4 linked regions of the Stegostoma tigrinum genome follow. The protein of the gene in region 2 purifies or fractionates together with the protein of the main gene of each other region. This does not show direct contact. Links are inferred from orthologs where the notes say so. Each region holds a gene or a part of one and is shown on either strand. Other genes may lie near its edges.

What was found.
Region 1: the proteins of capzb (region 2) and cnot2 purify together in Homo sapiens (co-immunoprecipitation; 4 studies listed by BioGRID and IntAct, with this or other methods). This does not show direct contact. The link is inferred for Stegostoma tigrinum from reciprocal best matches to the Homo sapiens genes CAPZB and CNOT2.
Region 3: the proteins of capzb (region 2) and cracd purify together in Homo sapiens (co-immunoprecipitation; 3 studies listed by BioGRID and IntAct, with this or other methods). This does not show direct contact. The link is inferred for Stegostoma tigrinum from reciprocal best matches to the Homo sapiens genes CAPZB and CRACD.
Region 4: the proteins of capzb (region 2) and cnot9 purify together in Homo sapiens (co-immunoprecipitation; 3 studies listed by BioGRID and IntAct, with this or other methods). This does not show direct contact. The link is inferred for Stegostoma tigrinum from reciprocal best matches to the Homo sapiens genes CAPZB and CNOT9.

The regions. Positions count from the first base shown.
Region 1 is NC_081371.1:45,260,900-45,269,104, forward strand, and holds the start of cnot2 (CCR4-NOT transcription complex subunit 2), read right to left. Parts: upstream 3,155-8,205; 5' UTR 3,101-3,154; intron 1-3,100. UniProt on the Homo sapiens protein: Component of the CCR4-NOT complex which is one of the major cellular mRNA deadenylases and is linked to various cellular processes including bulk mRNA degradation, miRNA-mediated repression, translational repression during translational initiation and general transcription regulation.
Region 2 is NC_081381.1:30,770,787-30,778,511, reverse strand, and holds the start of capzb (F-actin-capping protein subunit beta), read right to left. Parts: upstream 3,283-7,725; 5' UTR 3,133-3,282; coding exon 3,130-3,132; intron 1-3,129. UniProt on the Homo sapiens protein: F-actin-capping proteins bind in a Ca(2+)-independent manner to the fast growing ends of actin filaments (barbed end) thereby blocking the exchange of subunits at these ends.
Region 3 is NC_081354.1:109,541,834-109,548,981, reverse strand, and holds the start of cracd (capping protein inhibiting regulator of actin dynamics), read right to left. Parts: upstream 3,266-7,148; 5' UTR 3,258-3,265; coding exon 3,221-3,257; intron 1-3,220. UniProt on the Homo sapiens protein: Involved in epithelial cell integrity by acting on the maintenance of the actin cytoskeleton. Positively regulates the actin polymerization, by inhibiting the interaction of actin-capping proteins with actin.
Region 4 is NC_081360.1:103,196,914-103,204,556, forward strand, and holds the start of cnot9 (CCR4-NOT transcription complex subunit 9), read right to left. Parts: upstream 3,175-7,643; 5' UTR 2,937-3,174; coding exon 2,913-2,936; intron 1-2,912. UniProt on the Homo sapiens protein: Component of the CCR4-NOT complex which is one of the major cellular mRNA deadenylases and is linked to various cellular processes including bulk mRNA degradation, miRNA-mediated repression, translational repression during translational initiation and general transcription regulation.

The sequences.
Region 1 (8,205 bases), on a different chromosome or scaffold from region 2:
GATGTCTACTGTCAGAATCAGCGTATCTAGGAAGAACTAAAAACTGAGGACAATATTAGCAATTCCAAAGAAGAACATTCACCAAGAATTTTTCAACATTTTTAGCCAAATGCAGTGCAGAATTACATTTCCCATTGTAACTTGTATAATGATATGTCAACTACATCTGCAACATTATATGAATGCTTATTCAAACCTTTCCAAGGAGAAGTGAAGTTGGTTAATTCAGATTCTAGTGATTCCAAGTCAATCACTTGCCACGAAAGTACATCTTAAGTCATGAAAAACTGGTAGGGCTTTGGGTTGGTCTACAATATTTGAGCAAGAATAAGGATGAAGATGCCATTCTGCGCTTTAAAACAAAGTGTCACAGTGAAAAAATAAAACATCTTACCAGTTATTCTCAAATGAATTATTACTATGGAAGCAATCAAAATTTTTGATTTTTAAAAATCAAGCATACTATGCATTAGTCTGTTAACAAACTCTGCTCTATGCCAATAGTATATCCTTTAACATAACACCAAAGTCATTGAGAATGTATTCCATTCTTCAATTCTATTCAATGAAACAGGAGTAAGTGGTTCTCAATGTAGCCTCTTCACATCACATGTCTCAATCATTCCAATGAAGTGGTTAGGAATCTTGCAGAATCAAAGAATTTTTCCTCTGGTCATTTGTTAAAGATCAAATTATTTGTTTTCTCCCTGATTCAGGATCACAGAATACTCTGTCAACTTGTCTAACATTTTGCTGAAAGCTTCAATAACCTTTAGGGCTTCATTATCTAATGCATCAGCAATATAATTCAGGAAAAATACTTGTGATAATACCCTTTTAAAACAAAATGCAATATCCTTAATCACTCACTAAAAATCTGTCTCAGCATCACCGCCACCAGTAATCGACCTTTCTAAACTCTAACAGTGGTGCAGATCCAATTGGACAATCTCAATTTGTTCTCTCCAGATGTAACCCACACTTGAAAGGACAAAACCTAACAGTTGCGCTGGGTGTTTTCCAAATTACATGCGCAAAATTCAACACGCTCACAAATCCATAATCTGTACAGCTTTGCTGAAATCCTACTGACAACCAGTGGTCAACAGGGTGGCATTTCTTCAGCTGATTCAATGAGCCATTAGCAACAGTTCACTAGTTTTGGGCAACCTCACATTTTCTGGAGAGGAGAAAAACAAGACTAAGAACATTAAAACACTTAACTGAAACGCTTCAGCCATAAAAATGCAATTATTGTTGTAGCAGTGCCCCCAATAAACAAGTAAAAGCTATATAAAGGTAAGGACAAGTAGGCAAGCATGCTCACACAACTGGTAGTCTCAAAACTGTGAAATAGAAAATAGATGGCAAAACATCCACCCAACAGTCCCACAGTACTGCAGCTCTAATATGGAAATGTCTACTTACTGTATCAATATTACAATTTTTTGGATTACAGATAGTATATGCATCCATACAACTTTGAAAATGTTCTTTCTGATTAAGAAAATACCACATTGTCCAGCGCTATCAAAATACTTGAGCATAAAGGTGAATATGGAAATTATAGAAGTTCTATTTGTTTTGGCAAAATCAGCAACAGAAGTTAGCATCAGTGCTGCTGATGCACAAATACTACAATTTTAAATCACATAGACATACACCACCAAGTCTATAACCACTGCCTTGATACCATTAATGCTTATTTAAAATTTGTAACTGTTAACATATCTGCAAAGCTGTAAGATCTTATTTCTGAAGATGGGTCTCGACCCAAAACGTCGGCTTTCCTGCTCCTCTGATGCTGCTTGGCCTGCTGTGTTCATCCAGCTCTACACCTTGCTATCTCAGATCTTATTTGAAGTTTATTTCAAGTTGTTCATCATTTAAAAAAGACAAATCTATCCCTTCCTTCTTTAAACCAAGGATTTACGCTATGCTAAAAGTAGTTAAAAACATAGTTTGACATCCAATTTATATTTGTAAGTGTCAATCCATATCCCTCGAAAAATTCTGATAATCTAGAAAAATAAGGTAAGTAACTGTATAAACTTTAAAAAAAATTGGAGAACTTAAAATCTCGTAGATTTAGAAAGCTAGATTCCCAGTGTGATAATCTGGTCTGATTCAATATTTGTCCAATTTAATATTTCCAAAGTCATTACAAACAGGAAAAACTAATAACAGCAAAAAATTATTTGGAATAACAAAATTGAACAACAAAGCCAGATGTTCAGCCCTTTCCATCATAAATTGTTTAAAAGCGAGATGTTTGTGACGTGCTGTTGTTTCAGTGGCTATCATCACTTACAAGATCCAAATCACCAGCTACATTTTTATACAAAAAAAATCATTTTCCCTTAGCTGTGCAACACAATTCTGAAATGATCGCCATGTCTCATATTGTGAGGACTCAAGGAACTTTCTGCAAACAATGGTGTCAGCATGGAACAAAACTATGTTTGAAACAAAATATAAATACAACTTCCACCAACAACTTAAAATAGACAAGTTGCATCCAAAAGGAAAACAAGTAAACATTTGCTGACGGCTTAAAAAAATGCAATGCACTGAACCAGGATCGGATATATCGCGACTATACCAAATTTCTGAAATTGAGCAAAGAAGCAATGGGGGATTTGTAGTTATAACTGCGGAAACGCCAGGCACACAGCTCGGGTCTCGTAGTGTAAAATGTATCCCGATGAAGATGATGAGGATGATGATGTAAAGTGTGAAGAGGAGGGCGAAAGTCGGATGCAAGGCCCAGTGCCTGAGGTGTATGTGTTCGTGCAAGGGTCGGGATCTTACTCTGCTCCCCGGCTCCTCGCTGCTTGGGTTGGCCTGTCCGCTTTTTTTTAATGATACTCGATTAAACCAGAGAGAGAGAGAGGGGGGGGGGGTGCAGTGGAGAGGGAGACTCAGTCAGAGCCCAGACAAAAAAAAGGCACAGCAGCCGCCCAAGCCCCATTAGATCAGCCCGCACTCCCCGCCACCGCGCTCGGCAACATTTTCATCGAAAAAGTTGTCGCCGACGCCAAAGGGACGGAGCTCTAGCGGCTCCGAGCGAGAAATAAAGAAAGAAAACGTTAAAACTTACCGCATGAATTATCTCCTAAAATAACTCCAAGATGGCTGTGTATTGCACCGGGGATGCTGGGTGCTGCCCTTTACCCTATGACCTTTACCCCCCTCCCCTGGAAGCAGGCGAAAGGATGACAACAGAAAATAAACAGGTGGAGGCGAGTAAAGGAAGCAGCGTTTCTATTTCTTATTATCGGGTTCTGCTTTCGCTTTCTTTCCAGTTTAGTTTGAAGCCTTCGTTGTTTATTTTATTTTAACGCATCTTTCGCTCCTCTTGAGATTTTGTTTTGACCCCAGAAAAAGCCTCAAAATCCCGACACCGTGCTGAGAGAGACACTCACACGGAGAGAGTTGTGTGTGGCCTGGAGCTGATGATGAATGTAGCTGGGATTGATAAATCAACCATGTGTATATTTCACCCTATTTCTGTCTTGCACTATTTTCGCCAGTTCCAAATAATATGTGAATGGCGTAGAACTTTTAACCGAGACAAAATACGAGTGAGGGGGGAAGCAATCGGTTTCTCCCTGTCGTCTTTATGCAGTAAATTTGCCTTTTGGTGAAACTCTTTTTATACTTTGTATAAAATGTAGAAATTTTAAATTTTAAGAAGGGGTTTCCTCCAAATTTCTCAGCATAGAAATTCTTTTGCATCTTTTAGTAATTGCATCTGTCAGGCTTGTGTAACTGCATTGGTGTTAATCTTTGAAATTTATTTATATTGGTGAGATCATTTATCTATTGTCCAACTGCAATCTTATTTTGATTCTTGATTTAATTAATATCATGTCACAGGGAGCTGCATCTAGAAACAAAGCAGTAATGGAGGAATTGTGATGATTTCATGAATTGTAAGTATAATATTTAACATAACCAGGGTCTTAAATAAACCTATATTGTATTGCCTGTCATTGTTTGCCACTTAAAATATCTGTAGAATATCTTAACATCTATTTTTATTTCATATGATAACAGTTGCCTACTATTTTGGAAGTTTTTGTATCAATTTTGAAAATGATATTGACAATGACGGATGTAAAGCTAACAGTCACTTTAACGTGGAGATACTGTATGATACTGTCACAATAAAGTGTATTTAGCAAGTAGCCAATTATAAATGATTAATTTGAATAAGCTTCAATATTAACCAAAATTAAATCTATCATTTTGTACAATTTGTACAATTCCATACATGCAGTATGCTGCAAAGACCAGCCAGCTTGAGTGAAATATCAATAATTGATGCACAGATGAGCAGCTTCTGCCTCTAGTACTATTTATTATCAGATCCAAATAATAGTAAATTTAGGTACTTGCAAATATCCATCGAATTATAGATATAGACAATGACTGCAAAACTGTAATTGAAACTTGAGTTTCAAGTAAGTGTTAAAAGGCCAAGAACAAAATTAGAATAGCCTGCTAACCCAAAATCTGATTACAAAAATAATAAGATTTTAACTTCCCAATCTGGTTTCTTTTACATGATAGTACAATGACTTAGATTGTAGGTATTTTCTAACAAACCTGTTCAGAGGTGATATCACACACATCTGGAGCAGATGGGACTTGAACCTGGACCTCCTGGCTCAGAAGTAGGGGCATTATCACTGTTCCATAAGAGATGCTCATGTTGCAACACCAGCCTGACATTTTAATTAGTGCCATTAAATACATAAACATGCAACATCAAGGAAATCATGTAACATTTACAAATCTTTAGCCTAAGCTGCAGCTTTTGTGCGTTGTTCTGGACGTTACATTTTAGAAAGATTTCCAGTCGTCGGAGGGGCTGCAAGGAGATTGATGAAGATGGTAACAGAGTTGAGGGACTACAGTTATTTGGAGCAATTGCAGAAACTGACATTTTTATCCTTAGACCAGGCAAAATTAAAGGAAACCTGATATGATATTCAGAATTATGAGAGATCCAATAAAGTAAGTCTAGCAACCTAATTTGGTGTTGGTTGTCCACAAGTATCTCAATGGCCTTTTTTTTTCACGTGCATTCCCTAATAGTCTGCAAAACCATGAATGCTGAAAGCAGACTCCACAGGAACTTTAAATGGCAATTGGATTTACGCTTGGAAGAGGATTAATTTTCAGCATCAGAAGGAGTGTGGAATGAAATTAGTTAGCCATTTGAAACAACATGGTGTAGAGCTGGATGAACACAGTGGGCCAAGCAGCATCAGAGGAGTAGGAAGGCTGACGTTTTGGGCCTAAACCCTTCTTCAGAAATCATTCCTGAAGAAGGGTCTAGGCCCAAAACGTCACCCTTCCTGCTTCTCTGATGCTGCTTAGCCTGCCATGTTCATCCAGCTCTCCACCTTGTTATCTCAGATTCTCCAGCATCTGCAGTTCCTTCTATCGCTGAAGCCATTTGAAACAGCCAGTGCAAAATCAGTGCTGTAATATTCTGTTCTAAATCTTCCTTTTGTTTTCTTTTTTTTAAAGCAGGGATTAATCAAATAGTCAGCAAGGTTTTATTAAGGGGTGGTCAGGTCTGACTAATTGAATATTTCAAAGTGGTCTCCAGATGTGTAGGTGAGGTCCGTGCATTTGATGTAGTCTGCTTAACAGCAAAGCTTTTGATAATGTCCAGTGTGGGAGACTAATAGCAAATGTGAGAGCCTGTGGGATCCAAGGAAATTTGGCAAATTGGGTACAGAATTGGCTGAGTGACAGGAAGCAGATAGTGATGGTTAAGAGCTATTTTTGTGACTGGGAGTCTGTGTCCAGTTGGGTCCTGTAGGGATCAGTGTTTGAGCCCTTGCTATTTATGGTACCTATAAATGGTTTAGACCTGAAGGTACCAGAGTTGATCAGTACTTTCTTGGCTAATACAAAAATTGTTGGGTTAGTAAATAGTGAGGAGGATAGCCATAGATTACAGGAGGATGTGGATAGGCTGGTCGGAGGGGGTGATCAGTGGAAAGTGAATTCAATCCAGATAAGTGTGTGGTGATGTACTTGATGATCATTGGGACAGAAGCACTGACAATCAGTGGGACTTTAGTGTGCAGAGCCTGCAGCCTCTCAGCGTAGTGGAACAGGGAGATAAAGAAGTTAAGAAATCATTTGGGATACTTGCCTTTATTAGCCAATGCATAGATTTAAGGACCTGGGAGGTGATTCTGGGACTGTACAAAATGTTGAATAGGCCACAGCTAGAGTATTGTGTGCAGGTCTGATATCCACATTAGAGGATGGATATGATTGCGCTGGAGCAGATGCACAGGAGATTTACCAAGATGTTGCCTGGACTGGGTTTTTTAATGAAGGGAGATTGGATAGGCTAGGGTTGTTTTACTTAGAGAGGTGGTGTAGGGGGAGTGGACATGTTGAGATGTTTAAAATTATGAGGAGCATAGATAGGGTAGCAGGAAGACAGGGGGCACCACAATGACAAGCTCTGGCTGTTAATGCCAATTTTATTGCTGGTAAGTGCTATTTTACCAAAAGGAGGACAAAATGGAGGTGAAATAACCAGTCAGTTATTTTGAGAAATTGAGTAATTATCAGCAGAAATAATTGATAATAGAGAAATGTCTTTTGACTCTGCAAAAGTTCGAAATTCACTTGTTTAATAACTTTGAAGAGACTATTATTTATACAATGGCCTGTCTTCAGATGTTTGGAGAGTTTTCAGATGAGAATTTAAGACTGTTTCATTACAGTTTAATACTACAACCGTATAATTTTAGAAATCATTCAATATTATAGCAGGTGCTTTTCTAGAGCAAATATGAATGAAACAATGTCATGATCAAAATGAACTTGCGTAGAATATGGTTATTAGGAATATTGGTGCGTATTCATTATAAATAAATTGTTACAGATGATGTACCACAGAAATGGTGTTAAGAGCAACGTTATGTTTGAAAAAGATGCTATTGCCTCTTAAGGATACCTTTGCATTTTCACTTTTGCGGAATGTATGAGGAAAGCTGTATTATATATTACATTTTTGAAGTTTGGATTTGAAAATTTAGGCAGATGGCTGTGGGTCAGTTCTGTTAAGGATTGTTTTTCTTAAAAGGTGAAATAGGCGGCTTTTAACAGTGATTAACTGCATCATTTTGAAGAAGGTCTACAACTTCAGCAAATGCCTGACAAACACCCGTGGTATTAATTGATAAAGTATTTACGCTCTTAGGTTTATGACAGGCAGAGGAAGCAAGTTAAGGTAATTTAGTTTAGTTTTGACTTCAGAACAGAATGATCAAACTTTTCGTCTAGAAAAGCCCAGAATTCAATTCAGAAGGTAAAATAAGTTTCTTTGAAAAGGAGAATCAAACGGATGAATTTAACCAAACATTGGCTAAGTATCACTGAGGGATTTTTGTAGAGGGTTTCTCTCTGAGCTCTAGTGGTTATCTGGCACAGTTCCTTGCTGTTCATCTCATCATGTGTCCACCACTCCTTTATGGTATCTTGCTTTTGCTATTGTGCACTTCGCAGTGGCAGAGGTCCTCACCATAGCCAGGAATTTCCAGGACTTCTTTCGTGGGTAGAGTATTTAAAGCCCAGCTGCACAAGGTCAGTAGCTCACCCCATGAATAGTACACACATATTGGGAGGGAAACAAAAAAAAAGACAGCTCTGAGGGCACATAGGGTGACATGGGTGAACCTTCCTTATGTATATTTGAGGCTGAGATAGATTCTTGATCAGTACGGTAATCAAGGGTTATAGGGAAAGCGCAGGAAGGTGGGCGTGAGGAGCGTCAGATCAACCATGATGCTATTGAATGGTGGGATAGGCTCCAGTGGTCAAATAGCCTATTTGTGTTCTTATTTCTTATGTTTTTACTGTCATCATTGGAAATAGAAGCTCATGTTCAGAAATGTATTGCTACTTTATATCATCAACTGTTATTGTAACTTCAGCTACAAGAGAATGAATGTGGTATCCACCCCAACTAGCTTGGAAGGATAGCCCTGACTGATAGCCCAGACACTTAATAAATTTCTAAGCAGTTGCCTGATAGACTCACCACAAAATGCCAGACTGGTTGCACTGGACCTGCATGACTGACCATGGCTCATTCCCCAGTAGGTAATGATGTAGATCCCTTGACCCCATCCAGCTAAGTGAGCAACTGACTGTGTTCAAGCC
Region 2 (7,725 bases):
CACCACAGCAAACCCACAAGGAAGACCTTTGGCTTGCCTCTCGCCCTCCGCATCAGGTGGCCATATATCATGAATGTGGTGTTGAAGTGGAGCTGGATGTTGCAGGGCAACCCCATTTTAACAGAAGAGCAGGTGCACCCTCACACACCCAAACATATGACATAGCTTCTTGTCCAAGCTGCAAAAGTTATATTTCACACCAAGTACGAAAGACAAGGACAACAAATGAAGGAGACTAAGCATTCTCAATAAAGATATGCATCCTAAATTTCCAAAACACCACTGGAACGAAGGCTTTGGGTACAAGCCCCTTTCAGAGATTTGACAACATAATCTCAGTTGAGGCTCTAGTGTAATATTGATGCAGTATCATACAGCAAACTTTGTTTTAACTGGCCCCTTATCTACCAGCACTCTTTATAAACCACCAACCCTCAAATACTGCAATCTACATTGATGTCTGAGTATTTATGCTCTTAATAACATATAACAGCGGTACGTATACCTCACATTACATTTATGCTACATACTACGTGTTTTTACACTGCGTTTAGAAGGTTTGTTGATGTTTTTACATCGTTTTTTTTGAGGCATATTGATGTCTCGAAGCTTCACTTGGTCAGAGTTTAATGCAGTATGCATATCTCTTGATTATATGGAATATTTCCTCAATCGCCACACTCCCATGCTGTATGACTCTATGACTCCTGGTCCCACTGGTGCCAGTTAATAAAGTTTGCTGAATTTTCAGATGAGATGTCAAACCATGTTCATACAAGTCTCTGGCATGGGTGTAGAAGATCCAATGCAACATTCTCTCAGAACACAGAGTATGCTTCGTGTCCAGGCTAGTATTTATCCTCAATTCTCATTACTAAATCAGATTTCTGATGGCAATCACATTGATATTTGTGGGGCCTTTGTATATGCATATAATGTAGAATATGTGGCAGCCAATAACAGTAACTGTTTTTCAGAAGTTATGCATTGACAGTAAATCACTTTGGAACATTCCATGGCAATGAAAGGTGCATTAAATTGCAAGTTCCTTCTTTCAATCTATTCTTCCTTGACCCTCTGAGTTACTGATTTTAGTCTCTATGTATGCAACATCCTTTGGTTCTGCACATCAAAAGGTTGGTGGAACAAGAGGGAGGATTATTCCCAAGTCAACTCGCACCTGAAGAAGGGTTTCAGAGGGGTACTTTCAAAGGCAAAGAAGCAAATTGCTTGTTCATATTCATCATTTTTAAAGCAAGGTTAAGTACAATCAGGTGATGATAAAAACAAAAAACATTTCATATGCCTCAAGATCAATAACTTAAAGGATCTATTCAAAGAGATGCTGTCATGAGACTTAAATGCAATATTCAGACAACACTGCAGACTTCAATACTGTGCAAGTCCTTGATTATCATATGAAACTGCTCTCACAACAAAACTACTTATAACAGCTAGTACATTAAAGAAGTGTCATAAACTCTGAAATTCCTCCAACACAATCCAAGTTTGAAAGAAAACAGAATCTATATTTTTACTACTCAAAGTGCAAACGGTCTGAAAATGTCACATTTTACGCAATCATTGCTTGAATATTTCTGTTACAAGGGGATCAAAAGCACAACAAGTTTCAATCAGTCTATGCAAAAGCAATAAAACAAAGCAAGGGATTTTCTGAATTCAAAGATTTCAGCATTTCTTTAGAAGCATCAGAAATGAGAACGAGGTCATGCCAGTTACCCAGGCTAAGAGAAATGGAAGTTTGTTATTGACTAATCTGACATGTATTCAAGTCACATAAAATAAAACAGTGCCATAGCTTGGTTTGAGTTGAGATCTGGAGACTAATTCACAATCAACTTCTTGATAAAAAGGCTCATCAGCAAATACAGAGCAGCAATTAGTCATTTGGTCTACAAAAAGACCTTGAGACCAAGAAATTGAGACACGAATTGATATTTTGAGATTAGATTGGTTAAAATAAATGAATAAAGGATTAAAACTTTTCCCAATGCAATCTATTCAAACAGTTCAGAAAACAGATCATGCAAGATCTTGAAAATTACAATCCTCGTCTAAACCCAACAAATGAATAACACAATCTGTCAAAAGATAACTTCCTCATTTCTACAGTGAAATGCCTCTGATGTGCCACCAATGAAGATAAATCCAGGAGGCAAAACGACACCAAGTACTTTTTAGTATTACAGATAGAAAAATTAAAATCGCTTAAGTGTTCAAATATATACATATCTGACTCTCAAACTAATCATTCCACCAACAAGCGTTAGTTTGAAAGTGCTATTATCTTTCATTGAACAATAATAAATATTAGAAAATAGATTTGGTTTAAGGAAAACCCAAAAAAGTATGATCTTCTACTGTAACCAGTTGTAAACTAATCTCTGGGTCTGAAAATTTATTTTGTTAATCACTCAATTTTCACCACTGTGGAGTAGCATCCATCTAAACTCCATTTAATAGCTTACAATTTCAATGCAAGGGCGCTCAATAACTTTGTCCTGCGTTGGACCGCATTTCCTTTAAGATGCACAATTGGGGAACCCTGAATTCACAACAATCTGACATCAAAAAGGAATCCAACTGCCTTCAGTGAACGTCCGTTGAATGGTCAGAGGATCATAACACCAAAAAAAATTGCAACACAAGACTTGAATGGACTATCCCAACTAGGACACTGGCGCAGGTTGAGGTTGTGACAGTCCAGAAGACCAAAAGCTCACAGTTGATCTTCCCTCCCTCCGTCAGTCAGATCTGGTCTGGTCTGAATGAGGAACAGTATTTGGCAGGAAGTTTGCCTCCACTTTACAGCAAGGCGCGATGTGGAGAGAGAGGATAGTTGATCGCTACCCCAAGGAATCAACAAGATAAACTGAAGGGCAGCTGGATTTAGGAACCGTTACCGGGAGGTGAGCGGCGATGCAGACACAGGGCCGGGTCGGGCCGAGCAGTCCTCCCGCCCCGTGTCTCCTCTCTACCTCACCCCGTTGGCTAGCCGGATCTAACTCGCGGCGTCCTCCATGCGAGGACCAGCTGAAAAGAGGGTCCTGTGTCGGGAAGTGGGGCTATGAATAGATAGGGCTTGCCCCGGGACCAGGCGATACTCACCATGGCGATGGCGGTGGTGACGGTTGGCGGCGGCACTCTCGCGGACGGTTTCTTCGTCGGGCCCGAGCGATCATCCGGGTCACGCAAACAACCCGCGCTCAACCAATCAGCGTCCGAAGCTGCAGCTTGCCCAAGTATGGGCCTTGCAATGCGGAAGTGGTGCTCCAGTAGATTCTCTCCCCTCCTCCCGCACGACTGTCAATACCCTCAATGTCTGCATACCACCCCTGCACTGTCAATTCCCTTACTACCTGCACATACCCCACTGATCGTCAATGTCTTCACTATCTGTACACTCCCCAGTGCACTTTCAATATCCTCAATATATACTCTCCCCACTGCACTATCAATACCCTTAATATCTGCACATTGATCAGGGCACTGTCAGCATCTGTACACTTCGCAACGCACTATCAATATTGATATTAATAGTGCAGCAGTATTAATATCCTCAATTTCTGCATATTCCCCACTGCACTATCAATATCTGCACACTCCCCATGGCATTATCAATGTCTGTATATTCCCGAATACATTGTTAATGCCCTCAATAAATGTACACTCCCCCACCCCCACACTGCCAAAATCTCAATATCTGCACCACTGCACTGTCAATATGCTCAACATCGGCACACTCCCTGCTGCAGGCTCAATATTCTTAATACCTGAACATTCCCCAATGCACTTTCAATATCCTCAATATATACACACTCCCCACTGCATTGTCAATATCCACAACATGCACATACTCCCCACTGGTGTCAATATTGTCAATTCCTGCACAATCCCCAAAATGCTGTCAATGTCCTCAATATCTGTACATTCCCTGCACACTATCAAAATCTCAATATCTGCATATTCACCACTGCACTGACAATATCCTCAATATGTGCACACTGCCTGCTGCAGTGTCAATATTCCCAACACATGCATACACTCCAGTGCACTTTCAATATCCTCAATTTATACATTCCCCACTGTACTGTCAGTGTCCTCAATTTCTGCACACTCCCCACCGCAGTGAATATCCTCAATATATGCATACTTCCTGATGCACTGTCAATTGTCAATATTTGCATTATTCCCTCTACACCATTGACGTACTCAATTTCTGTGCACTCCCCCAATGCATTGTCAATATCCTTAATAAATGCATTCTCTCCAATGCACTGTCAACTGTCAATATCTGGACAGCCCCCACTACACTGTCAATGACCTCAATTTCTGCACACTCCCCAATACACTGCCAATATCTGCACAGACCCTACTGAACTATCAATATCTCAACATCTGCACACAGTCTTCAATGCACTGTTCTTATCCACAATATTTGCACACTGTCTGCTGTACTGTCAGTATCTGCACACACCCCACTTCATTATCAGCATCCTCAATATCCACTCACCCTCTTCCCATTTAGGTAAAATATTGTCCATTCATTCTCCAACGTCCTTGAATGTGTATATAACACTTACATTTATTTTTCATACAACTGTTTACAGTATTCCTCCCTTCAGAATTCTGGCACTGCCAAAGCACAACAACAGATCTAACCAATATGCACAAACTGTACTTTTGGTGATTAGAACATGATATTTTATCTTTATACAACTTCCATTACTTGGTCATAATGGACAAGGTTCTTCTCTCAGGCACTGGAACAATTCCAACAAATTGATTATTGGGAAATTAATTTAGTGCAGATTAGGAAACAAATAGGGTGACACATTGGCTCAGTGATTAACACTGCTGCCTCACTGTGCCAGGGATTCAGGTTTGATTCCAGCCTTGGGTGACTGTCCATGTGGAGTTTGAATGTTCTCCCAGAGTCTGCATGGGGTTTCTCCCACAGTCCAAAGATATGCAGCTGAAGTGGATTGGCCATGCTAAATTGGCCTGTAGTGTCCAGAGATATGCAGGTCAGGTGGTCAGCCATGGTGAATGCAGGATTGTGAGGATGGGGTGAGATACTCTTCAGAGGGTTGGTGGTGATTTAATGGCTGGATGGCCTCTTTCTGCACTGTAGGGAGTCGATAATTTGTTTTCGTCTTCATGACTGTGGACCACACCACAGAAATCCAAGGAGCCAAAATAAATCACTTTAATTCACCACTCTGAATAAGTTATGTTTTAAATTATAAATATTAAATTGTAAATATATATTTACCATAAAAAAGAATAAGACATATTACAAACCCACTTAAACACACAAAGCAGTTTATTTTTGGTGTAACATATGTTTTAATCCTCATCCTAATTCAGTCTTCACTCACCATTTACACACTTTCTATAACAGGAAGCATAGGTTAGATTTAAGAATAGCATATAGGGGCATGAGAAAACTGGAAGCATTTGTTGTAAATATAACTGTGCACAGTAAGAACATTTGGTGATATCAAGTTCAGCTTTCATAAGTATGTCAATCTTCTGTTAGGTTTCATGTTTCAATATTTTTGGAGGGTTACACTTAGAGATAACTGAAAGGAGAAGTGAGATTCTCCAACTGGCATTTAGTAGAAAGGAAAATGGCAATACATTAGGGTTACTATTGACTATTGTTATGGTCCCTGTTATGAGAATCCTGGACAAACTTGTTGTTATTGTGATTTGGCTTCATTGGCCAACATCTTGTAAAAAAAACAGAATGATATCAGAAAAAAAAGCACAAAAGAAAGCAGCAGGATACCAGGATTGAACTGAAACACCAAAAAATGTTCATTATACAAAGTTGAACAAAACTAACCTAAGCGATAATAACTAAAATAGGTACAATAAAAAGGTAAGATAATTATTTTGCATCATATTTAAATTTAGACGCCAGCATTCAAGATTAACAAATGCATCAGTTAACGGAGAAACAGTAGTTGAGTACCTCATGGATTGCACTATAAGCAACTGATGCAGTCAAGTCAGATTCCACCCAGATGTTGGAAACATTGTAGGCTGTCAAATCTCATCAAAATTGTCTCTTTTACAAGGGATTCCAATTCTTCATTTTCAAATATCTAAATGTGGGACACAGTTAAAGCCTCTCCAATTTGGACTGTGTCAAATTCTGCTCATGTCTTAGTAGTTCAATTTCTTCTCCTATGACAGAGCATCATAGGCACAGAGCTGTACAGCATGGAAACAGACCCTTCAGTCCAACTCATCCATGCCAACTAGATAACCTAAATTCATCTAATCCCATTTGCCAGTACTTGGGCTCATATCCCTCTAACCCCTCCTACCCATCCATGTACCCATCCAGATGTCTTTTAAATGTTGTCATTGTACCAGCCTCTACCACTTCCTCTGGCAGCTCATTCCACATACCTACCAACCTCTGAATGAAAAAGTTGCCCCTTAGATCCTTTTAAATCTTTCCACTCTCATATTATACCAATGCTTAAATTGTTTTTGACTCCCTGGCTCTGGGAAAAGTACCTTGCCTATTCACCCTATCCATGCCTCTCATGATTTTATAAACTTCTAGAAGGTCAACCCTCAGCCTCCAATGCTCCAGGGAAAATAGCCCCAGCCTATTCAGCCTCTCTGTAAAGCTCAAGCTCTTCAACCCTGATAACATCCTTATAAATCTTGCTTAACCCTTTCAAGTTGCACAACATTTTTCCTATAGCAGGGAGACCGGAATTGCACATGGTATTCCAAAAGTAGCCAAACCAATCTCCTGTAAAACTGCAACATGACCTCCTAATTCTAATACTCAATGACCATTAAGGGCAAGCATACCAAATGTCTTCTTCACTACTCTGTCTACCTTCAGCTCTATTTTCAAGGAACTATGAACCTGTACTCCAAGGTCTCTTTGTTCAACAGCACTCCGCAGGACCTTACCACTGAGCGTATAAATCCCGACCTCATGTGCTTTTTCAAAATGCAACACCTCACATTTACCTAAATTAAACTCCTTCTGCCACTCCTTGGCTCATTGACCCATTTGATCAAGATCCCATTGTACTTGGAGGTAACCTTTTTTGCTGTCCACTGTACCACCGATTTTGAGGTATTCACCAACATCTTTTCAACCTTTCCCTCCTACAAGCCGAAGTCCCCACTTTCTTCAAGAAGACTACCATCATCCTCATACCCAAGAAAACACTTGCAGTGTGCCTTAATGACTACTGCCCAGTGGCTCTAACTTAAATAATCATGAAGTGCTTCGAGAGGCTGGTCACGGCCCAATCAACTCCAGTCTTCCAGCCTGCCTCGATCCCCTACGGTTTGCCTGCCAACATAAGATCCACAGAGGATTCCATATCCCTAGCCCTGCACTCATCCACGGAACACCTGGACAACAGAGACACCTATGTCAGACTCCTGCTTGCTGACTGCAGTTCTGCCTTCAACACCATTATCTCCTCCAGACCGATCTCAAAACTGAGTGACCTTGGTCTCGGCCCCACCCTCTGCAACTTGTTCCTCAGCTTTCTGACCCACAGGGTGCAATCAGTGAGGATAGGTAACGGCATATCCTACACAATAACACTCAACACTGCAGCCACGCCAAGAGTGTGTCCTCAACCCCCTACTGTACTCCCTGTGCACCTACAAAGGTGTGGCGAAATTCCCAACCAGTCAAAATACAGATGGGAG
Region 3 (7,148 bases), on a different chromosome or scaffold from region 2:
GTACTTGACGCTGTCAACCATCTCCACCTCAGCACCACTAATGCAGACAGGGGTATGCCAGCTCCTTCATTTTGATAGAGAGATTGTTGTTTTTACATCATTCCACTAAGCACTCAACTTGTTTCCTGTATCCTGTCTCATTGTTGCTTAAGATCTGACCTACAATGGTGGTATCATCAGCGAGCTTGTAAACGGAGTTGGGGTGGAATCAGGCCACACAGTTGTGAGCATATAAGGAGTATAGTAGCAGCTTTGCAGGGCACCAGTGTTGAGGATTATGGTGGAGGCGGTGTTGTTGCTTATTCTCACTGATTTTTGTCTATGGGTCAGAAGTCAAGGATCCAGTTCCTGAGGGGTGTAGCAGAGACCTAGGTCTGAGTTTGGATTTTAGTTTGGTTGGAATTATGGTGTTGAAGCTGGAGATGTAATCAATAAGTGGGAGCCTGACACAGGGATCCTGGCTATCCAGATGTTCCAGGGATGATTGGAGGGCAAGGAAGATGGCATCTGCCATGGACCTATTGTATTGGGAGGTGAATTAAAGGATCAGGGAAATCTAATATGCTGGAGTTGGTGCGAGCCAGACTAACCTCTTCAAGCACCTCATCATTAGAGGTCACAGCCATCGGGTGGTAGAAATTGGAGGCACACTGCATGATTTCTCTTTGGCACTGGGATGATAGTGGTCTACTTGAAGCAGGTGGGGGCTTCAAGTCATAGTAAAGAGAGGTTAAAGATGTCTACAAATATTCCCGTGAGCTAGTCCACACAGGATCTGAGTGCTTGGCCAGGGACTCCATCTAGGCCAGTTGATTTCCATAAATCAGCCTTCTTGAGCGTGAACCTAACACCTGCAGAGTGACCATGCGTACAGGTGCACCTGAGGCTCTTGGAATAGGTGACATCATTTCACTGACCTTCTGTTCAAAGTGAGTGTAGAATACATTTTCAACAATCTTATCATTTACCCTCGACACTGAATAATATTATTACTGCTGAATCCTTCACTGACATACTCAGCAATATCATTGACCAGGAAATGAAGTGGGCCAGCCATATAACCGTTTCCACAAGAGCAGGTCAGAGACTGAGAATTCTGGAGACAACATCCGTCTCCCAAAAACCTTGTCCAACATCGAAAAGGGAAAATTCAGGGGTGTGAGGAATCCTCTTCCCTTGCCTAGATGGGTGTGACTCCACCAATAGTCAAGCAGACCTACACTATTCAAGGTAAAGCAAAGTCAAAGTTAATCAACACCCCTGCTGCCACCATAAACATTCACTTCCTTCCTCAGTGAAGCACTGTGGCAGCAGTAAATATCATCTACAAGATGTGCTGCAGCAACTCACCAGCAACAGTCAAACCCTGATCTCTAACAGATTTAAAATCATCTGCAAAAGAAGAATAAACCCTGGAAAAGCTTTCATACTCAGTGAGTAGTTATGGTATAGAATGCACTGTCTAGAAGTATGGTACGGGCATGTTCAATTGAGGCCATGACGAAGCATTGTGTGATTATTTGGTTAAAAGTAATGTGCAATGGTTTGAGGAAAATGCTGGAGATTGGCACTAAGTAATTGTGCTCATTTAACAAGCCAGTGTAGGCACAATGGGCCAAATAGCTTCCTTCTTCATCATAGCACATCTGTCATCTGGAAGCACAAGGGAGGCAAATATATGGGAACACAACCAGCTGCAAATTTTCATCCAAGACACTCACCATCCTGACTTGGAAATATATCATTATTCCTTCACTGACACTGGGTGAAATACTGAAATTTACACCATAGCATCCTTTTGGATATGCCTACACCAAGCGGACAGCAGCACTTCAAAATGCCTTCTCAAAGACATTAATGGATGGACATCAAATGTTGGCCTTTCTGGCATTTTTTCTGCCACATTTAAAAAAAAACTAAAAAGTAACTATTTCACTGCCCCAGTGCATTTTGCATCAACTAATTTTTTCAGCCCTTTTTATTGCTTTGGGGAGTAGAATGGAAGGAACAACTTGCTTTACAACAAAACAATCCAGCACGTCCCGTTTTGCAGTAACAATATCGTACGTTAGTTTTGTACCACTCTTGTGAACCCTGAAGTACCATCTCAACGTGCTGGACAAATTTACAATAGGCAGAAAAAGCCAAGCAATGAGGAGATGAACCTGATCATTCCGAAAAACAAACTAAATCATCAGTAACCATGCCAACAATCCAAAACAGGTGTCTGACGAAGGGGAGGCCAGGGTAAGGAAATGGCAACTAGGTACAACGGGTACAGTATTAAATGATGAATGGTTTACTACTATCGAAGTTTACTACTGGGATAATGTCATATCAGCTTAAAAATATATAATCATTTCAAAAAGGACTTTCTTTGCTAAAGATTGGTTATGGCATTAGCAAATGGCTCAGAGAAAGTTGGGTAGGAGGCAGGACTTTGGCATATTGTTAGCTATGGTTTCAGCATGGCAATAAACTCTAAGTTTAATTGCCTGATTACACCTCAGATTAAGCAAAACTGGATAAATAAAACCAATGGGAAGGCCTTGTCATGATATTTTCTAAGGATTAGTTTATTCTATTCATTTAAATGTATCACAAATGGAATGCATCTATCTTCCTCCTCCCACTTTTTGAAATCATTAGCAATTAACCAGCTTGCACTGAATTATTAATAAATGCAGTTCTACCATGAAGATCAGTAACTGCAATACAGCCCTATAAAACAGCATGGAATAAAGAGAGAATACTGAACACGTAGCTTTGCAATTCCAATTGCCTTTCAACTCATTTATGAAAAATGTGGATATTGGCAATGACAAATTACTTCCACAAACTGCTATTATTTAAAACATGTTTATATTAGCACAAATCTGTCATAAATAAAACATTTTCACTTTACCTGAAAAATATTGTCATTTCCTTCCTATTTTATTTGGCTTCCCATTGCCATTATGAAGAACAAACAACTATACTGCAATCTGTCATGTAAAAATATATTTATTCTACACCTAAAGTTGACTGTAGATCAGCTGACTTAAAAGTAACAAAACTATAGTTAGGTAATCATTGTTTTTTTTCTTGACTGTATTCTACTTTGCATTTGTGTTGAAATAAGCAGCACATTCCACCACTAGTAATTTAAACAGTGAATGCTATGATCTATACCAGAATACTCGATACATAAACAGAGATAAATGGCTATGTTTGATCTTACCTGCCTGCATTTTGAGTTCAGCTACTAAGTTCCGCATTAAATGCTGCAAGGTATAAATGGAGCCATTGAGGCACCAGATGAGGTGTCAGATAACTAAGCTGTTTTGCTCACACCGAATTTATTGTTAGAACTATTCGAACCAAGCCTCATCACCAGCTGCGCCATGTGTATTAGTGCAGATACCTTTACACCTAAAGATCAATGCTGGTCTTTATCACTGGAAACCAGATGGTTGATTTCAAACTTGCTTAAACGGCAACTTAATATATAGTTGCTAAAATGTTGCTGCATCTTGGAGAACCGGTTAGGCTGCTGTCATTTGTGAATGCAATTGATTTTGTTGGAGGTTATACAGAAACTTTCTCACAGTCTGTTCCAGATTTTTCTCCTTCTTTCTTCTTAAAAGCACAATTTCATGCTGGGTTATAGATCCACATTGACTCACCAACATCCAGCATTTGTCTAAATTGACGATCTTGTAATAGAGGTCATAGTACAGTCCTGTTAGTTCTGGTCATACCACAACAGAACTCAATCATGTCCTTCGCTCATTTGTACATAACACTTTCAAAGAGGAATCACAATACAGTCATAGAGTCACACCACGGAAACAGACCCTTCAGTCATACCAGTCCATGCTAAACTTAATCTCAAACTAAACTAGTCTCGCCTGCCTGCTCCTGGCCCATATGCCTCCCCAACCATTACTATTCATGTACTTATCCGAATATCTTTTAAACATTGTAATTGTTCCCACATCCACCACTTCCTCAGGATGTTCATTCCACACAAACCACGCTCTCTTCTCTTATCTAAAAATATGACCTCTAGTCTTGAAATCTCCCAATTTAAGGAAAAGACAACTACCATTAACTCCATCTACTCCCCTCATTATTTTAGACATCAGGAACCTAGGAGCTAGAATGACATCAGAAAACACTTTGTCACAAAGAGTCTTGGAAAATCTGAAATCTTGAAATCTGAAATTTGCTAAAGAAGCCAAACATGACTGCCTCTTTCATCCCAAGCCTGAGATGAAAGAGGATAAATGGAGTTAAGACAGACAGTAATTCTTGTTACAACCTCCCTTTCAGCAATGCATCCGGAACAAAATGACAAGTCAATGGGGTATTTGTCATTTGTGAAAAATGTCCTGACTCAAGGAGGGATCATATGCTGCCTGTCAATCCAGTGTACCTCCAAAAGCTGCGCATGAATCTTGTGCATTCTGACAGGATTGAGAGCTGCCTGTCACTGTGTGACATTTCTACTAGGATTGAGAGTTATACATGAAGATCCATGGGACATTGTAGTGAGATAGGGGTCATTGGATATCTCAAGGATGTAATATTTTTAATAACCCTGCTCAGTTATGAGACACTCCTGGAGCAGGTGGGACTTGATCTGATGCTTTCCGGCTTAGTGTGCCACAAGAACTCCCATCACCAGGATGTATGTGTATCCCGAGGAGCTGAAAAGATAAGCTTAACAGGCTTAAGACAACATTTGAAATAACTCCACAGAGGTCAGTATCCTGTCACCAAGTCACTCTTTATTTACACAAGAAGAGTCCTTGACTTTAGTTCTGCTTCTTTAGAATCAGCTCTCAGTGCCAGAATCTGATATTTCTGTTTATATCTGTCAGCCAGGGCTCCCTGATTGGACCAGATTAACAGCCAAAATCAAGGAACTCATGTCCTACGAGGTCCAGCTAGCTGATCTTGTTACAATCACTACATCTCTCCCCATCTAAGTCCAAGGACATAGGCCAGTTCTTATTCTTAGAGAGCCTCTTAGAGCACTTTAGCACTGGGTCAGGTTCCTCCAACTCAGTGTCTGATAAGGGCAGCATGAAATGCACAGGAGCTTGCCTCTTGCACCAGGAACGCCTTGGTAGAATTTCACTTTCTTTTAGAGGCAAAGGCATCAAGGCAGTTACATCTGTCCTGTCAATCTCTGATTCTGAGAATTGTCAATGCTTGATGGAGAGGATGAACCTACAGGTTCCAGCAGCCTTCCTGTCTGTTCTGAGGGGTAGGGCACACTTTGCTCCAGCACAGTTTGTGAATTGGTGGATTTCATATAGTCCACGTGCTTGGTCAGACTATTGTGCCTGCCCAAATTTTACATGTCACTAGTCCTGTCCTTGTGTTGATCATGCCTACAATCCATGCAGGGCCACTTCTGTGAGCCTTACACCAAACTTTGTCTCCTGCATCAAACTGTCTGCCTCACCTGGTGGGGTCTTGTGTCTAACGCTAACGTTCTTGATACTATTCCACATCCCCCCCCCCCACCCCCATGTCTGGAAAGATCAGACTTACACTGACAGATTTGATCTGCACCAGGTTATCTCCACCTGGCCCCGAGCGGCCAACCTAACCTCCCGGCCACTGCCCATTTCAACTCTCTGACCCACTCCACCTCCTACACGACTGTCCTCGGCCTTCTCCAGTATTGCAGCAAACTGGAATGCAAATTTGAAGAACGACATCTTATCTTCCACCTGGGCACCCTATAGCCCAGAGGACTCAACACTGAGTTCTCCAATTTCAAATAATTTTGCCAGCCATCCCCTGCCTCCCATCCCAGCTCCACCTCTTCCCTTCCATTCCAGCTCCTGAGTGTCCCTTCCAGCGACCAACCGGATTCATCCCTCCCATCGACCAATCAGGTCGTACATACCACTAGTGTCCATCACTACCATACCTCCCTCTATCTGCAGCTCTCCCTACTGCTACATCCAGTCCTGACTTAGGGTAATACCCAAAGCATTGACTGCTCCTTTCCTCCAGATGCTGCCTGGCCTGCTGTATTCTTCCAGCCTCCTGTTTGTCTGTCAGTGCTATCCCTGTAGTTGCATGTGGGGTGGTCCTAAACTGAAATAAGAAAGGTGACAGGTTGGAATCTAGCAAGGTTGTAGGCTTTTTTTAAAACCTGCTCTTTCTGCCAGGCCATTGGATGATGGGTCGATTAAATGTCGAATCACATTCAATTTTAGGAAGTACCTATATTCCCTGCTGGTAAACAATGGCCCATTACCTGTGGCCAACATTTCTGGGCCTCCATGCATTAAAAAAATGCATGTAGTTTTTCTATCATTGCCCCCTTGTTTGACAAATGGACCCTATATGCATCCAACCATTTTGAGTGGCTGTCTACAAGGACTAAGAACATGAAAGGTCCTGCAGAGTTGAAATGCAACGTGAATGAGGGGGAGCGGCTAGCTTTACTTTTTGTCCTTGTTGACACTCTGGGCACTGGCCACCAACATGGTTATATCTGTATACAGGTCTGGCCACCAGACATTTCACCAACATCTTCGTTTTGGAGACCCTGAATATCCCGAGTAGAGTTCAGCAAGTATTGGACAGTAATCTTTGCTCAGGACAATCACCCTTTCTCCCCATAACAAAATGCCATCTTCCACGACCTAAGCTCTTTGGGTAAAATACATATTTCAATTCTACTTGTGATGGCCCTTTGGATTCCCCCATTGCCACCAGTTCTTACAGTTTTGCCAGGACTAGATCTTTCCACATCCAAAGTTTGACATTGTCAGCTGTGACTTTGGGAGTGTTTCCAGAAAATTTAATGCCATAACAGACTTTCCATTGGAGGTATCAGCAGTGGTGTATCTGCCAGTAGGAGATGGCTCAATGCATCAGTATTCACGAATCAATCTCCTGGACAGTGTTATAACTTGAAATTGCACACACTTGGTAAAAAGAGCCCATCACCGAAAGCGGCCTAAAGCTATGGGTGGCACTACCTTGTCCTCTTTATTGAGACCGTGTAGGGGCTTGTGGCTCTTTTACCCAAAGATCTTAGATCATTGAAGATGGCGTTTTGTTATGGGGAGCAAGGGTGATTGTCCTGAGCAAAGATTTACATCCATAAAGGAATTGGTGAAACTTTGACTGCAACT
Region 4 (7,643 bases), on a different chromosome or scaffold from region 2:
TAATCTCATTTAACTTGACCCTTAAGTCCAGGTACAATTCTCATAAACTTACATCATTCTCCCTCCAAGACCAACATATCTGTCTTAACTCGACTGAGAACCAAGATCAGGGACAAGAGGGGGGACGATTTGGTCTCTCGGTCAAGCTTCTGTCATTCCACAAGATTGGGGTGGCTCAGTGTTTAGCACTGCTGCCTCACAGTGCACAGACACATGGGTTTGATTCAGGCAACTGAGTAGAGTTTGCACATTCTTCTTGTGTCTGTAATAAGTGTAGAGTTGGAGGAACACAGCAGGCCAGGCAGCATCAGAGGAGCAGGAAAGCTGACGTTTCAGGTCAGGACCCTTCTTCAGAAATGGCTTCATAGTGGGGTTATAACTCACTCAGAGATACTAAGAATTACTGATGCAAGAGCCTGAGGTGACATGGCACGGGGACTCTTCTTCAGAAAATCCCAACCCGAAACACCCGCTTTCCTGCTCCGCTAATGCTGCCTGGCCTGTTGTGTTCCTCCAGCTCCCCACCGTGTTCTCTCATTCTCCAGTATCAGCAGTTGTTACTATCTCCCCCATGTCTGCATTGGGTTTCCTCTGGGTACTGCAGTTTCCTCTCAGTCCAAAGATGTGCAGATTAGGGTGGACTGGCTGTGCTAAATTGCACGCACTGTCCAGAGGTGTGCAGGCCTAGGTGGTTCCACTAGTCGGGGGGGGGGGGAAGAGAAGAGAATGCGGGGGTAGTGGGCGGGGGGGGGGGAGGGGAGTGAGAATGCGGGGGTAGTGGGGGGAGGAGAGAAGAGGAGAATGCCGGGGGGGGGGGGGGAATTGGGTGGAAGAGGAGAATGCCGGGGGGGGGGGGGTGGGTGGGTGGGGAAAATGGGTGGAAGAGGAGAATGCCGGGGGGGGTGGGTGGGTGGGGGGGTAAATGGGTGGAAGAGGAGAATGCCGGGGGGGGGGAATGGGTGGAAGAGGAGAATGCCGGGGGGGGGGGGGGGGAAATGGGTGGAAGAGGAGAATGCCGGGGGGAGGGGAAAATGCCGGGGGGGGGGTGGGGGGGGAATGGGTGGAAGAGGAGAATGCCGGGGGGGGGGGGGAATGGGTGGAAGAGGAGAATGCCGGGGGGGGGGGTGGGGTGGGTGGGGGGGGAAATGGGTGGAAGAGGAGAATGCCGGGGGGGGGGTGGGGGAGGAGAATGCCGGGGGGGGGGGGGGGGGGAGAGGAGAATGCCGGGGGGGGGGGGGTGGGTGGGGGAGGAGAATGCCGGGGGGGGGGGGGTGGGTGGGGGAGGAGAATGCCGGGGGGGGGGGGGGGGGTGGGGGAGGAGAATGCCGGGAGGGGAATGGGTGGAAGAGGAGAATGCCGGGGGGGGTGGGTGGGGGGGGAAATGGGTGGAAGAGGAGAATGCCGGGGGGGGGTGAATGGGTGGAAGAGGAGAATGCCGGGGGGGGGGGGGTGGGGGAGGAGAATGCCGGGGGGGGGGGGGGTGGGGGAGGAGAATGCCGGGGGGGGGGGGGGTGGGTGGGTGGGGGGGGGGGGAAATGGGTGGAAGAGGAGAATGCCGGGCGGGGAAATGGGTGGAAGAGGAGAATGCCGGGGGGGGGTGGGTGGAAGAGGAGAATGCCGGGGGGTGGGGGGAGAATGGGTGGAAGAGGAGAATGCCGGGGGGGGGGGGGGGGAGGAGAATGCCGGGGGGGGGGGAAAGAGAAGAATGCCGGGGGGGGGGGGAGAAGAGAAGAATGCCGGGGGGGGGGGGGGGAAAGAGAAGAATGCCGGGGGGGGGGGGGGGAAAGAGAAGAATGCCGGGGGGGGGGGGTGGAGGGGGGGGGAGAAGAATGCCGGGGGGGGGGGAGGGGGGGGAGAAGAATGCCGGGGGGGGGGAGGGGGGGGGAGAAGAATGCCGGGGGGGGGAGAAGAATGCCGGGGGGGGGGGGGAGGAGAGAAGAATGCCGGGGGGGGGGGGGGAGGAGAGAAGAATGCCGGGGGGGGGGGGGGGAGAGAAATGCCGGGGGGGGGGGGGGAGAGAGAGAAGAATGCCGGGGGGGGGGGGGGGGAGAGAGAAGAATGCCGGGGGGGGGGGGGGGGAGAGAGAAGAATGCCGGGGGGGGGGGGGAGAGAAGAATGCCGGGGGGGGGGGGAGAAGAATGCCGGGGGGGGGGGGGGGGGGAGAGAAGAATGCCGGGGGGGGGGGGGGGAGAGAAGAATGCCGGGGGGGGGGGGGAGAGAAGAATGCCGGGGGGGGGGGGGGAGAGAAGAATGCCGGGGGGGGGGGAGAGAGAAGAATGCCGGGGGGGGGGGGGGGGAGAGAGAAGAATGCCGGGGGGGGGGGGGGAGAGAAGAATGCCGGGGGGGGGGGGAGAGAAGAATGCCGGGGGGGGGGGAGAGAGAAGAATGCCGGGGGGGGGGGGGGAGAAGAATGCCGGGGGGGGGGGGAGAGAAGAATGCCGGGGGGGGGGGGGGGAGAGAAGAATGCCGGGGGGGGGGGGGGGGAGAGAAGAATGCCGGGGGGGGGGGGGGGGAGAGAAGAATGCCGGGGGGGGGGGGGGAGAGAAGAATGCCGGGGGGGGGGGGGAGAGAAGAATGAGAACGTGAGGACTAGTCTCTCCTCGATGGGCAGAGTGGCCTGCTTGCACACTGTAGAAATTCTAGGGTTGTCTGATCATAGCTCCACTTCCCCGCCCGCCTCCCTGGTGACCACAAAATCCGACAGGCTCGGCCTCAAGCCCCACCGAGGCCTCAGGCGGTCCCCGGGCAGGCTCCCTGCAGCCTCCCCCGCCGCCCGAGTGCGGGTAAACTCGGCGAGTCCCTGCCCGGGCCTCCCGCAGCGAGGGCGTCGCTGTCTCCCCCATCCCTGGCCTAAACCGGGGGGGGGGCGCGGGGAAGAGGCCCCCACCTCGCCCATCCCCACCGGGACTTACCGCCCCTGCCCCCAGGCTGTGCATCTTCCCCCGCCGCCGCCGCCGCCCCTTCTTCGGGTAAAAACTTCACATCAACGAGCCCGAGGCTCCCGGCTCCTGTGTCCGGTGAACCCTGACCTCTGACCCTTGGTCACCGCTTCTACCCAAAACACGTCTTTTATTTTGAAAAGGAATTTACATCAGGAGAATCATTCAAACCCTTCGCAATCCGACTCTCTTGTGTAGAATAATCTCCAGTTTCACCTCGCACCATTCCGCGGAATTATAGGTTTGAACGCATTTCCGCTCTTCACCTTTGCCCTTTCACCCCGTGACCGCGGCATTGAAACACAAGTTGATAATTATCCTTGTTTATTTCGTACGAATTGTGCCCGAAGCGCGCTTCAGACGATTAGGGTATTTTTTTTAAAAAGAAAATGATAGACTTTGCGGGTGTGTTTCCTCAGGCTGCGCGCTGCTTGCTGGGAGGCTGCCTTCGCGCCATTTTGAGCGGCGGTTGGGGTGAAGAACATTTTAATGTTTTTATTCGAGGCGGTGATGGGGTTTGGGGAGAGTCGGTTGTTTTAGAGCGGGGCGGGTGTTCGGCGGACGGACCGTACCGGACAGGATCGGGGAGAAGAGGAGCGCTCTGTGCCTGAGAGCACTCCACGCCCCGGGGCATTGTGGGAGCGGCAGTCCCGCCATCTCGCGGCGGCGGCGGCGGCGGCGGGAGCGGAGCGCGAGGCGCCGTCTCTATGGGAACGGCCCGAGAGGTACCGTAACCCCACCCGCGGGAGTGTGTCTGTGTCTGTGTACCGCACCCCCCCCCCCCCCCCGGGGCGTGGGGTAGGGAGGGACAGGCAGAGGGGACCAGACCTTCCCCCCCGCCCCGGGGGTAGGGAGGGACAGGCAGAGGGGACCAGACCTTCCCCCGCCCCGGGGGTAGGGAGGGACAGGCAGAGGGGACCAGACCTCCCCCCGCCCCGGGGGTAGGGAGGGACAGGCAGAGGGGACCAGACCTTCTCCCCCCCCCCGCCCCGGGGGTAGGGAGGGACAGGCAGAGGGGACCAGACCTCCCCCCGCCCCGGGGGTAGGGAGGGACAGGCAGAGGGGACCAGACCTCCCCCCGCCCCGGGGGTAGGGAGGGACAGGCAGAGGGGACCAGACCTTCCCCCCCCCCCCCCGCCCCGGGGGTAGGGAGGGACAGGCAGAGGGGACCAGACCTCTCCCCGCCCCGGGGGTAGGGAGGGACAGGCAGAGGGGACCAGACCTCCCCCCGCCCCGGGGGTAGGGAGGGACAGGCAGAGGGGACCAGACCTCTCCCCGCCCCGGGGGTAGGGAGGGACAGGCAGAGGGGACCAGACCTCTCCCCGCCCCGGGGGTAGGGAGGGACAGGCAGAGGGGACCAGACCTCCCCCCGCCCCGGGGGTAGGGAGGGACAGGCAGAGGGGACCAGACCTTCTCCCCCCCCCCCCCGCCCCGGGGGTAGGGAGGGACAGGCAGAGGGGACCAGACCTCTCCCCGCCCCGGGGGTAGGGAGGGACAGGCAGAGGGGACCAGACCTCCCCCCGCCCCGGGGGTAGGGAGGGACAGGCAGAGGGGACCAGACCTCTCCCCGCCCCGGGGGTAGGGAGGGACAGGCAGAGGGGACCAGACCTTCCCCCCCCCGACCCCCCCCCCGCCCCGGGGGTAGGGAGGGACAGGCAGAGGGGACCAGACCTCCCCCCGCCCCGGGGGTAGGGAGGGACAGGCAGAGGGGACCAGACCTCCCCCCGCCCCGGGGGTAGGGAGGGACAGGCAGAGGGGACCAGACCTCCCCCCGCCCCGGGGGTAGGGAGGGACAGGCAGAGGGGACCAGACCTCCCCCCGCCCCGGGGGTAGGGAGGGACAGGCAGAGGGGACCAGACCTCTCCCCCCGCCCCGCCCCGCCCCGCCCCGGCGGTAGGGAGGGACAGGCAGAGGGGACCAGACCCCTAGGGGGAAGTGGGTGTGGAGACAGAGGGTGCAGTCCCCTGCGGGAGAGACAGAGAGTACCTCACCCTTTGGGGGTTGTCGGGGGGGAGGAGAGAGGGTGAACACTGTACCCCACGGTGGGGAGACAGACCAAGTAATGTGCCTGGGGCTATGGGGGGGAGAGGCAGAGGGCACTGCACCTGTGGGGAGCTGAGAGTAGGGAGTACTGCACCCCCAGGAAAGGAGTGGGGCGTGCTACTGCATCCTGAGGGGAGAGTCGGGGAAAGGACTGTATCGTGGTGGCGGTGAAGAGAGTCTTGGGCACTGCACTCAAGGATGAAGCCAGAGTGAGCGGGCAGAAATACCTGTGTCTGGGCAAGGGGGTAGGCACTGAGAGAGGCGGACTGCATTTCAAGGATGGGGCCAGAGAGATGGAGCTTAACTGTATCTGTAGGAGGCGGCGGGTTGGGGGACAGAGAGAGAGCACAAGACCGAAGTTGTGGAACAGGAAGAACTGTTGTGGTGTGTGTGTGTGTGTGTGTGTGTGTGTGTGTGTGTGTGTGTGTGTGTGTGTGTGTGTGTGTGTGTGTGTGAGAGAGAGAAGGATTCATGACTTTTGAAGCAAAGACCAGGATCATTACCTGAAGAGAGAAATTTGCAAGATTGCGGAAAGGCTCCCAGGTGGAACTCAGTGAATGATTCTTTTACTGTTGAAGAATCACTGGAGTTGAAGTGTTAACTCTGCTGCTTCTCACAGAATTTGCCAAACTGCAGTCTCTGTTTCTGTTTTTTTTTTAAAAGAGCCACTGCTGTTTCCAGTATAGTAACCATTCTCTAATTCTGTCCTGCCTAAAGCCTATCTTGTTCCACCATACCTAACCCTCCCATCCTTAACACCGTTTCCACAAATGTCAAATTCCATTCCCAAAAGACTCCTCGTACCCCAACATTGAAACCAGTTTTGGAAATGTGTAGAGATCACAGGACTGGGTATGATGCCCTTTCTAAGGGACCAGAATGCAAATTGACCTCCAGTGTGTCTGTGCAGTTACTATGTTTACCGTTTGTCCTCCCAACACCTTGTCCACCATCTAAAAGGCGCGAGTTAAAAATGTGATGGAATACTCGCCACTTGCCTGGTTGATAATATTTAAGAAACCTGACACCATTCAGGGCAAACAGCCTGATTTTTTTTTAAACTTTCATTTCTGTATATTCTTTGACAATCTCAGGATATGCTTTTAGCTCCTAATGAGAGTGTCTTTGGAACAGCTGCTGTTGTAATGTACACCTTTGTAATTAATTGAGTGTTCCAAAACTTTGCTGTTTTCCTATTTCCTACTGTCTGTATTGTTGAGGGTTTCGAAAACTTAGTGGTTTATGTTGCATACAGTAACTTCCAGAGTTGATAAGGGGGAGCCATTTGTTCAGTCTTACTCAGAGTTTGAAGCTTATAGCTTCCAAGTTATGCACCAGGAGTGCTCATGATGGTTTTGTGATCAGATGTTTGACTGATGAACTGTATAGCTGATTGGTCAGATGTAAAAGTTTTCATGGCCGTACTTTGAATGCAAGCTTCAGGGTTTGGTTAATTTTAAAGCAAAATCATGAACTTGGCTGATGCCTCTGAACATTTGTGCACATGTCTGTCTGTTCCTGTGTGACCTCCCCTTCAAATTTGTCATTTAGTCAATCTTTCTTCCTACCAACACACTTAATTTTTCGTGTATTTCAGTGTCTCATCAGTGTCCTCCTGAAGTCTCTGGTTACACTTCTCATTAGTTACGATGTTTGCAAATTATTTGTGAATTGTAGACCAAAGTTGGAGTACTTTTTAGAAGAAGAATTTAAGCCATTAAAATATATCAGAGAGAACAGCGGTCCAAATGCAGATTCAGTTGAGCTGGTCAAGAATTAGACCAAGTCATTTCTGGATTCCAGAATTTTCATAATTGTGACATGATGTCAGAATATCTAAACAGAACTGTGTGAACAGGAAATCATTCGGAAATAAAGACTTATCTGAAACATAAAACAGTGTTATAGCTTTAAGCAGTTTTAAAGCAAAGTTAAATTATGTAAGTACTGTTTCTTCAATGTTTCTGCTTCCTAAACATTGCACTGAAATAATACTCCAGTCTACTCAAAAAAGTCTAGAAAACTGGTGTTTCTAAATGATAATTTGTACAGAGGGGTGGACATGTGTTTGTTCTGTTCTGGATTATGATTCCCACAAACAAAAGTAGGCTGACTGATTTCTACTGAAGGTTTTGACTTCTTTAAATAGGAATGTAATGTTTGGGTCGTTAACACACCAATATCTAACGAAGGATCGGAAGATCATGGGCAGAGCCTCTTAATTTTAGCCCTTCTCGCATGAATCCGGGATGAATCCCATCTAGAATCTTTCAGCATCCGTTTCTCTGCACAAGTGACTCCAGTCTCTTAAGTTGTTTTGCCGTCGCTGCTTTAAATCTGCTGTTATTACCCCATTCGATAAAACCAACCTTTGACTCTAGTTTCCACAGATTGAAGGGACAGATATACAGCCCAGAAACAGACTATTTAGTCAAACTTGTCCACATCGACCAGATATCCTAAATTAATCTAGTCTTGTTTGGCCCATATCCCTCTAAACTCTTCCTATTCATATACCTCTTCAGATGCATTTTAGATGTTGCAATTGTACCAGCCTCCACTCCTTCCTCTGGCAGCTCATTCTGCATATGTACCACCCTCTGTGTGAAAATGTTGCCCCTTAGGTCCTTTTCAAATCTTTCCGTTCTCACCTTAAACCTA